Linked DNA regions of Sus scrofa. The main gene of each other region encodes a partner of the protein of the gene in region 2 in a complex. Links are inferred from orthologs where the notes say so. Each region holds a gene or a part of one and is shown on either strand. Other genes may lie near its edges.

Region 1 (4,778 bases), on a different chromosome or scaffold from region 2:
CTTAAAAATAGTTGTATTTATATTCCACAATTTGCTCAAATACTGGTTTTCTTATAAACTTTCTACAGGATGTTTTAAAACAAATTCTTCACATTGTATCTTGACTATGTACTTACGGAATTTCAGGGAAATAGTTCTGTGTGTTTTAATAGCTTAATTTGTACTAAAGGGATGGCGGGTGGTCACATGCAGTCCATGTGGGATTCTAACATGACATTTAGTGAGTTTTCTGACGTGGACCATCCCTTTGATGCTGAAGGTAATGCATCTGTTGAAAGAAGTGATTGTAGATTTGGATTACTGCTCTCTGGATCTTCCAGTTTCTCTGTGTTATCTTCCCAGTTAATGTGGAATCTTGTGACTCGGGGATTTGATGCCAAAATATTCCTTTGAAGCTACAGGAAGAAGGAAACATATAAATGGTAAACGCTAAGAAAGTTAGATAACTATATACAAATAGACCTTAATAAGAATGGTTCTTTATTTAGTACTCCTAAGGACTAAGTTCACATACAGAGGCAAAAGTCAAAGCACCTTAAACATAACTAATAAATAAGGACCAGGGCTGCAGCAAGGAAATTACTCTAGCCTAAAGGAAACTAGATATGGAGGACCTGAGGGAATTATCCAGATCTTTTTCTTAATCCAACATAACATCCAACTCTATACTTGTTTCCTAAAAGGAAGCATATCTCTTGAATGCTTCAGAGGAAACTTTATTTAACAAATTAACATGCTTTCTAGCTTGATGTTGTGTTTCTTCAGTAAAATTTCCAAGGAAAATGAAAAATTTTTCCAAATATAACCTCTCATTATTAATGGTTTTCTACCTTTTAATTATTATGGCTCCTTCTTAGAAACAGTACTCTGGTTTCTCCTTTTTGCTGTACAAGGAGTCATACAGGTAACTAATAAATTAGAAATGGAAGGTTCCTCTCATCAGAATACAAAACATTCCAGCCTTATTACCAGAAAGGAGAACATTCCATTCTACTCCCATGTAATTTTTCTTGCGTGGTCTGGCAGAGGGTTATGTTCAATCTCACAAAGAACACCAGTTACTAAACTATTACAGTTCCCAATAGAAAATCATAAAGTCCCCAGTATTTTTGAGAATACTAAATCACAGACTTCACCTTCCCTCTCAGAAGCTAAGCTGTTTTACCACCAGAAGTATTTAAGACCTTTAGTTTCACCTCTAAGAATAACAGATAAAGCAAACATATAGGTATACTGAGATAAAAATGCTCATACAAAAAACAAACACAACCCCACCCCCCAATTTTGGGAAGAGTTAACACACAAAAATGTTAATTGAATAATCAGTACAACAAACATGAATGTGAATGTCCTAAAAATTGAAATGGATAGATTCATGATGTATGGGAAATTCCATTCAGGGAGCCATTAACAAAGGCCTGTTTCTAATAGGAGGTGCTTTCAATTTTCTAAATCATCAGAGACTCTCAAGGTGCCTAGTCAATATTAATCAGTAATGTCTAATCTGAAGGTATGGTTTGAGGTCATACATGGTAATGGAACAATGATTAGTTTGCTCAGTTGGTACAATGACCTCAAATTTATTTTGTCTCAAAGCCACTTTCATAGTGTACTTTGAAATGGCAACTGCTTAAAACATTGCATTGTAAAATTAATGAAAGTAATAATCAATACATTACCTTAGAAAAGTCTGGTTTTACAGGCGGATTTTCCCTTAATTCTGTCTCGGTGTATTCATTATTTACATAATAACCAACTCTAATAAATTCTTGACCTCGATAGGTGCATGTAATTAGCACAACTGTTACACCTACTGCATCTGCATCTGGAATGAGTCCTGGATTAGGTGCATCAGCCTAGAATAATTTAAAAAGAAAAGAAATACACATCACAGGAGGCTATTCACTGCAAGCAAAACTGGAGTTCTGGTTAAAACACTGAGCACCTTCGGTTAGGGGCACAGTAACCAAAAACTTAGAAATCATCCTGAGAAGGCACATGTTCACTTTTTTTTTTTTTTTTGGCTTTTTAGGGCCACACCCATGGCATATGGAGGTTCCCAGGTTAGGGGTCCAGTCGGAGCTGTAGCTGCCAGCCTACACCACAGCCACAGCAACACAGGATCCAAGCTACGTCTGTGACCTACACCACAGCTCACGGCAACGCCAGATCCTTAACCCAATGAGTGAGGCCAGGGATTGAACCTGCAACCTCATGGTTCCTAATTGGACGTGTTTCTGCTATGCTACGACGGGAACTCCACATGTTCATTTTCGAGACTGATTATAGCTAGAAAACATAGTTCATGTTTCTCCACAGTATACTGAAGTACCCTGGGTACTTGAAAACATCACTACTTCTAGAAGAAAATAAATCTGGCTACATACAGTCTATGGTGGTTCATGAGGAATTATACAATATTCAATTATAAAACCTTTTATAAAATACAGTAAACAAATCAATAGTCTTATTGATTCCAACCCTTCCTAGTCATAATTTTCAGATCTAAATTAGTAAATATTCAATTATCCTCCACACAGCCTTTTGGCAGCAAATGTTGATTGTCCAATTTCCCAGGACACATTCTCACACCCACTCACCCAACCCTCACAGATATTCTCATAGTAAATTAATGTAAAACTGAAAATGGAATGGAAATAGTTACATAGTATAGCAGATTGTCAAAAAATACTAAATCACATATACTATGGAAATTCACTGATGGTAAAGTTTGTTTTAGGCAGAGGTAATCAATGATCCTGTTCTGAATCAAACTGCTGTAAGCTGAACTGTGACAAAGGCAGGAGGTGAGGCAAGTGAGCTAGAGGTGGCTGAGAGCATGAGCAGCACGGGGGCCCTGTCCATAGCCATGGGCAAGACAGTGAGGACACTGGTTGGAAGGAGGCACAGACGGGACAGGCAGTGACAGTGAGGCATCTGAGCACAACCCAAAGAGCCATTCTCAGTGGTAGGTGCTTGAAGCCCCAGCAGATCGGCTTACTCTTACTAGGGCACCAAAGCACATCCACGGGACAAGCCTGGGTAAAGACTTCAGCCAATGCCTTAGCTTGGGAAGGCTCCTGGCTGGCCTTCTCAGTCAAGCCATTTTCGTAACAGACTAGTGACTGCTATATACCTACTACATGTAGGGGACCTAAAAAGGCATAAATCATCTACCTAGTCACCTAGACTAAAAACGTCTAGTGAGTCTTGACATCTGTCATCTCAAAGCATAATCCAAGTCTTCATCTCTTATCTGGAATATTACCAAAGCTTCCCTACTGCTCTCCCCCAGCTCTAGCCAATTTATACAGCAGCCATCTAAACCCAGATCCATTCCTATCCCTTCACCAGGTTTTAAAACCTCAGATTCTGAGATAAAAATTTCACTTCTTTAACGCTTCTAAGGCCCTTTACAACTGGTCTCCAACCAATACCACACCCCTTTTACGCCACATCTCTTCTTCTAGAAATGTAGGTTCTTTAAAATGTAGTGATAGTCTTTCCTGTCTAGCATATACTGTTCCCTTGGCCTGAAAGGTCCTTTCCTAACATTCTGAAAAATTCATCTTCTGAAGCTTTCATCAAATATATGCCTCTCGGCAAAACCCTTTCTAATTCAAAGGTATAATTAATAGCACTCTTTATGCACTCATATTACTTGACACAAATTCTCTACTAATGTATGTCTAACAATCTAAATATGTTACCCTTCAATCTTCTCTGAGATTCTAGGCTTTATCCTGGGCAGGAGTCCTATCCAGTTCATCTTTGTAATCACAAGTCTGGCATAGCTCTAGGGACAGAGTATTTGTATTCTGAAATTCATTCAGAACTCAGTTCCTACCCTGACATGGTTTATGACCTCTGGAGAGATACCAGAATGGGGACAGAGGGCCTGTCCTGAGAATATGCTATCTGTCTTTGGGTAGAGATGGGAAATAGAGTTAGTTCAGTACGGTGGGAACTTTCCCCCCATATTGCTTCCCATCTGCTCAACAAACTCGTCCGAGGCTTGTTTGTGTTTTAAAATTTGTTTGCTAAAGGATGCAGCTTGAGCAAATTCAAGGAGAGAATTTGCAGACGTCTCAGATCATTTAGGATGGAGAAGTGATAAGCAGAGATTTTTCACTCCAACAAGCAATACTAGTTAGATGTCCAGGCACCTTCCTGCTAGCCTCTTTACACACTCAGGAGAAACGCATGTTCATCCTGAGAGTTAAAGTCATGGAAGAATAGGAGAATACTATGGTAGTTTGTTTAAAAACATGAAACAAAAACTATTTTAGTCCCTTTCTGCTGATAATGGTGAATTTTAAAAAATGCATAAGCTGAACATATGATCTAAATCACACACAACTTCCTCTGTACTTTTGGCAACATCTGCACAGATACCAAGGTAAAAAAAATCACTGGAAAATCACCAGAGGGAAATAATTTTGAATAATATTTTTCCTACAACACTCCAAGGCAAAAGCTGAGGAGTATCCTTAAACACATAGAAGAGATTCTTTAAGGGCTTTTTCAAAAACATGGCATTTATTTGCAACACTTCTAGCAGCATCAAAAGGTATATCACTACATCCCCAATTAAGTTTCTTACATCATGAATTACTACCTGTGAATTACAGGTTCTCCAGGCTTGTGGGTCAAAGCAAATACTACTTCTTTATATAACAATTTCAGGACGCTAAAAGGGAGTTCCTGTCATGGAATGAATCCAACTAGGAAATTTGAGGTTGCACGTTCAATCCCTGGCCTTGCTCAGTGGGTTAGGG
Region 2 (5,734 bases):
GCTTGGGGACACCAGAACTAGTCTGAGGCATGTCTGGCCGGCTCCCTGGTCTGCTCTGTGACTACAAACATGAGCCTGGAGGACTTGTCATTCGCTACCCTGAAGGCAGAGAGGACCAGATGATCAGCGTGCACATCTTCTAGATGAATCCGCCTTTGAGCTCTCTGAAGGGAACTGGGCCTTTGCATGGTAAATGTCACCATTTGCCAGTCCATGACCAGCTGAGTCTCACAAAGTTGCCCCGTGACCAAACACACTTTAAATGAGTTGGTTCATGAATCCAAGTTTAAATCACTTTGTGAAAAGAACCATCTGACAGTAACAGTTTATTTTGAAATTATCCATTGTTTTTTCCCCTCACTTTGATATTTTCACTTATAGAATGCTCATAAATAGAAGCACTCCATTTTTGTGGTAAGCAAATTCATTAAATTCCTATGAGCAATTCCAATTGGGATGAGTTAAGTCTGGAGTCGGGCTGTGGTCAGACCTATGACAGCGTAAGTTCTCTGACATGCAGAGAAGAATGCATTGGACAAAGTGAAACTTAAAATCTCATCTTTTCCTGTATTCCAATGATTTATTTTTTAAAGTTATTTCAAAAAATGGGGGGTGGGAGGTGGAATCATAGCCTTTTAGACCCACAAAGGAGTTTCAAATCCTCTAGTCCAAACTCCTTCATAGATGAGGTTGGTGAAGCTTGAAAAGTGTAGGTAACGGGACCAAGTAGCTTGTCTGAGGAGAAGCTGGGCTGGAACTCTGCTCTGACTCTGTCCAGTGTTCTCTTAAACTCTTCTCTCCTCATTTGAAACATTCCAGTGTCATTTTACTTTACAAAGGAGTTACTTTCTTCATCACTCACCATAGGGCAGAACTTGCCTCACTTGCTTTTCTTTTTGTGTAAGCAAGGGTAAGGGAAGGTGCACTCTCTACTTCTTGGTTCTCCTGCTCTCGATAGTTGTCCACCAGGCTGTCCTCCTCCTTCCCTCTGCCTGGAGCTTGCACTCCCCCTCCCTTGCAAACACTGTTATCTTTGGAAATATGTGTGTGCACGGCCCAACCTGGCCGTGGGATTTGAAGCAAGGTGACTCTTGGTTGAGTGGTGTTTCCATAGTCCTTGAATTTGCCCAAGGGCTTGGAAGGCTGGACAACTAACAAAAAATAAACTGCCATCCTTTGCCCTTTCAGTAGGTCTGTGTTCCATTAACACAGAATGGACAGAATTAAGAATAAGGAAGAAAAAAAGGCAGAAACAGGTACTTCACTTGAAGTACTTGCCTACCCCCCAGAAAAGTTCAAGGCTCTTGTTCATTATCTGAATTTTCCGCTTGTGATTCGCTTGTAGTCCTTAACTCATCTTCAGATTAAGGAAGCATCAGAGGAGAATAAAAAGTTGGGTATTTGCCTTGAAGTCAGTGTCCCGGCTCATATACAATCGGTGAATGTGATTTCTTTCCTCTAGTGCTGGGTGATCAGAGTGGGAGCCTTTTCCAGTGCAGAAAGCCTTCTGGCTGCCGCAGCTCCTGCGCCCTTTCACACTGCCCATTCCTCAGAAGACACTGTGAGGGGCAGGCCTGTTTTCTCCAACCTAGCACTTCCCCTTAGAGCCCCTTAGTACCCAGGAGGGCCTTGTTTTTAATCAGAGGTTGAAATGGAACCTCCCCCAGGGCGTACGGAGAGAGTCCCTTTGGGGCAGCGCCCCCCCTTCCGCAGGGCCGCATCCTGGTGGGGGTGGGGGCTCAGCCTTGATCCCAGGGCACCTCTAGTCCCTGGAGACGTCCAGCCAACCAGGTACGTGGAGGGGAAACGCTGTCCGCTGTCGATGGCGGCATATGTGGGTTTGGGGAGCAGGACTGTGGGGTTGGAGAGCGGCGGGGCGTGGGAGCTAGGCAACACCGGTGGGCACAGCCAACTCACTAACTGGGCGTCTCCGGGGAAGTTCGGGCGGGGTTTGCTGGCTCATGGGCTTTCTTCCTCTAAAATCCATCCTGGGCAGAGCAACCCCGCTTCTCACCCAAACTCGTGGAGACCAGGGATTAGGCGGACGCCGGGCTCTGGGAGGCGGGTCGGGGAAGCAACCAGCTCAGGCGGCGAGGGCCCTCCCACGCCGGTCCGCGACCCAGGGTGCCGGCCCACCCGCCTCGACTGGGGCCAGTTCCGCGGGGCGGGGGCCGACCTTACGAAAACGGCGGCGGGGGCTCTGGGACTCCGGCCCGGGCCGGTCCGACTCCCCTCGCGTCGCAGCCACTCTGGCTGGAGCGCTTGCCTGCCCGCCCTCAGCCGCCCGGCGAGGCAGCGGCCTCCTCTGCCGGCGCGGGGTCCCCTGGTTAACCCCTGCCCGCCAACCCGGCCGCTGATTGGAGGAGGCGGGGCGCCGGGGCAGCGGGGACCCCCCCCACCTTCCTCTTCCCCTCCCCCTCCTCCCCCACTGTCGGCGCTTCCCCCACCCCCCCAGGACCCCCCCGCCTCCCAGCCGTGCAAATCTCGCGAGGAAACACGCGGTTTCACTAGTGTGTTTACACCGATCACTACTAATCCGGACCGAACCGATCCGGATTAAGGGGCCGGAGGCGGGTCTTGGGCACCAGCGGTTCCGACCCCCCCGCCCTCCACGCCGCACCCGAGTGGCCCCTAGTCGAGCGGGCCCCCACCTCCCGACCGGGCCTGGGCTCTTCTGCGCCTCCCTTGGCCTTTGTCCGGCGCCAGGAGGCCGGTCCCGCGCCCCCCGCGGCCTCCCGGGCCCGGGCCCGCGTCGGGCGCCTGGCTCTGTACGCGAGCCCGGGGATCTGCGGCCTCCGAGGCCCCCCTCCCCCGCCCGCCCTCTCGTGGAGCCCGGCGCCGGCGGCGGCTGCCCGGGCGGGGGGTTGCGGCGCTCAGGAGAGGCCCCGGCTCCGCCCCGGGCCTGCCCAGGGGGAGTGCAGAGCGGTCCGCAGCCGGGTCGGGTCGGGGCCCCTCCCGGGAGGAGCGTGGAGCGGCGGCGGCGGCGGCGGCAGGTGAGAGGCTGAGCCCCGGGCGGGGGAGGGCGCCAGGCCTGAGGCATTAACCGTCCGGGCGACCCCCTCGGCTGAGGAGGTTGCGGCCCAGGCCCACCCGAGGGCCGGCGCCGGGCCGCAGCTTCTCGGCGCGGAGGCGGGAGGGGCTTCCCGAGGGCTGCGGGTCGCCGAGGGGCCGGGCCGAAGATGGGGGAGGCCCAAGCGGCCCCGGCCTGGGAGTGGGGCCGGCGGCCGGCGGGAAGAGGGGGGCGCCCCGGCAGCTGGAGGCCCCGGCAGCCTCCCGGGCGCCCCCGAGAGCTGGCCCGCCCTCCCTCCGTGACAGGTGGGCCTGGAGTTGGGGAAAGTTTGGAACCGGCGGGAGGCGAGGGGCGCCGGGACCAGGCCCCATCGGCCCTGCTTCTCGGCTGTGGGCTGCAGGGAGGATTCCAGTCCAAGGCCCCGCTGGAATGAGACAGTGTGGATCTTTCCTTAACATGAGTTGACATTAAATGGAATAACCGCTGGGGCGTCATTTTCCGGGCCAGGCCTGGGGATGGAGGTTTAGGAAATGTGCCGAGAGACCCTGGGGCTTGAGGGAGGCTTCAACCTCTGCCATTCCGGCCTCGATTAGGGCAGGGCGAGACTCGGAAGGCCACTTAGGGGAAACACTTTGAATCTCCTTTTTTTCTTTCCTTTTTCTTTTTGTTTTTCTTTTTAAAGATGCCTTTTTACCCTTCCGAAAATTTCCTTATTCTCTCTCTAATCTGCACTTGTTTGTGTGGGTGAAACTTTAATTTGCTACCCTTTTCATTCCCCTTTGCCCCAGGCTCTCAATCCAGGAAGGGAAATGAAACTGGAGGACTTTGTAGGGGTTGTTACTGGAAATTGTGGAGTTGTTAGATTGCAGAGGAGAATGTTGAATTCATGTTTTCAGGGAACTTTTCTATCATGCCAGTCATTCCAGTAGCTAATGATATGTTCGGAGGGGTTCTATGTAATGGTATATGCTCCTTTTCCACTTTTAACATTAGAAAGGTTTCCAATGGGTTCCGCAGGAGTTGATCTCTTGCAAACGATGGAGGTATTTGCTGAGAGTTAGCCTGTGCATTAATTGGTCATGGAAGGAGTTTAAAAATGGTGTCCTTCTGCCCCTCCCTGCTTGGAAGGAGTGCTAAAAGCAGATGTCTAGAGAAACCTACTGCTCCAGGGAGTGGCACATTTTGTAAAGGGATGGTTATGAAGCTACACTAATTTCCTGAGTGAATGCAGGTTATGGTTTTACCATGGGATCTCTATTAAATTTGGAATAATTAATTCCCTTTTTCATGAGCAACTGTGGGCTCCTCAGAGGAAGGAGGTATATAAAAGCGTTATTTGAAGTTATTTGTAGCTTCTGATTCATGCTGTATTATTTTGAAGTTATTATTAATGATTCATATTTTTAGGTTAAGAATTAGTTCCTGTGTGTTTGGGAAAAAAATATCTGAAAGTACTTACCTAAATTCAAAGATTGATAGAAAAAATTTTCTTTTATAAGCTGGTTCTTGCTCAACTCTTACAGCCATTCTGTGAAGGACTGGAGGGGTTTTTTTGCTGTTTAAATCAAATCTGAACTAGATAAAATAAGTGACCCTCAGAAGAGGACTTTTGAGCCACTTTACAACTTTAAATGTATTATTTAATATGCTCATTGTAGTTTTTCACTTGTATGTTATATTTACTGGAGGTTAACCTGATGTGACCACTCAACAAAATAGTGAGTTTTGTTATATCTAAAAATGGGTTCCTCATATTTTAACTTTTATGTTCTCACAGCCTACTTTTTCTTTTTCAGTAGAAATGATGGAAGAATTGCATAGCCTGGACCCCCGAAGGCAGGAATTATTAGAGGCCAGGTTTACTGGAGTTGGTGTTAGTAAGGTAAGTAAAACGATGGTAATGACCACTGATCATAGTCTCTTTTAAACACATTTAAAAACGTACGTGCAGTTTGGGTGGACCATACGGATACATTGAAGGGGAAAAGACTTGATTCATGGTTCCAGTGAACTTTTAAATCCTCCCAGTGGTTCCAGTCCGTTAGCAGTACATTTGAAGGTATCTCTATGGGAGTATATGCTTTTCCCCTTCTCATATGGGAGAGGTTTCCCATGGGTCTGTTCCGAGGATACTAACAGGATATATCTAGATTCTATGCCACTTTTTGTCAAAACTCCTTAGACATGCAGAAAAAAACTTCATGAAAAGGTATTGGTGTTGTTTTATTACACTGGATTTTTGGGGTAGTTATTTGTAGAGTTTTGAAAAATCTGTCTCTGCTAAATCTGTCAGTTCTCCAAATCTGCAGTTCAGTAGATCCTTCCTGGTTGCACCCCCAGACTGCTTCCTCTCTCTTCCTATTTTTCCTTCTTGTTCACTCTTTTTGTTCCAGGACCAAGATCAAGACCCCATTAATGGGTAGGTGTTGTGCAGTGTTAGGGCTTCCTCGTGTACCTGCTCCCTCATGCCTCTGGTCTCGTAGGATGGTTTTAGTACTAAATGTTAAACATATTTATGCTTTTAATACAATATGTAAAATATAGTTATGGTGTTTTGTTTAAAGTCTCACTCATTTGGGCTTGAGACTCTAGTTTTTGACCTTTGACTACATGAGGTAACATTTCTTCCTGTGCTTTTTAAGAAATGTTACCTCTTATGGTGACTTACTGTCGCACGTTTTTTGGTCAGTAGCTTGGAGAAGGTGTTTGTTAAGACTTAGCTGG

The links. Proteins that work in one complex are often made in the same cells at the same time.
Region 1: the proteins of TLK2 (region 2) and ASF1A are in contact, whole or in part, in a crystal structure (PDB 7LO0), measured with the Homo sapiens proteins. The link is inferred for Sus scrofa from reciprocal best matches to the Homo sapiens genes TLK2 and ASF1A. Residues at the interface, in NP_001271262.1 of Homo sapiens: Arg11, Arg12, Gln13, Leu15, Leu16, Glu17, Arg19, Phe20, Thr21, Gly22, Val23; in NP_054753.1 of Homo sapiens: Val45, Ala48, Glu49, Glu51, Asp54, Asp88, Val92, Thr93, Val94, Leu96, Arg108, Gly110, Tyr111, Tyr112, Arg145, Thr147, Phe149.

What each region holds. Positions count from the first base shown.
Region 1 is NC_010443.5:43,201,716-43,206,493, forward strand, and holds part of ASF1A (histone chaperone ASF1A), read right to left. Parts: intron 1,857-4,778; coding exon 1,680-1,856; intron 396-1,679; coding exon 183-395; 3' UTR 1-182. UniProt on the Homo sapiens protein: Histone chaperone that facilitates histone deposition and histone exchange and removal during nucleosome assembly and disassembly.
Region 2 is NC_010454.4:16,252,325-16,258,058, reverse strand, and holds the start of TLK2 (serine/threonine-protein kinase tousled-like 2), read left to right. Parts: upstream 1-1,416; 5' UTR 1,417-1,791; exon of another isoform or gene 1,792-2,083; coding exon of another isoform or gene 2,084-3,040; intron 3,041-3,212; exon of another isoform or gene 3,213-3,315; intron 3,316-4,806; 5' UTR 4,807-4,811; coding exon 4,812-4,892; intron 4,893-5,734. Other genes in the region: uncharacterized protein LOC110256160, read right to left, coding at 2,084-3,040. UniProt on the Homo sapiens protein: Serine/threonine-protein kinase involved in the process of chromatin assembly and probably also DNA replication, transcription, repair, and chromosome segregation. Phosphorylates the chromatin assembly factors ASF1A and ASF1B.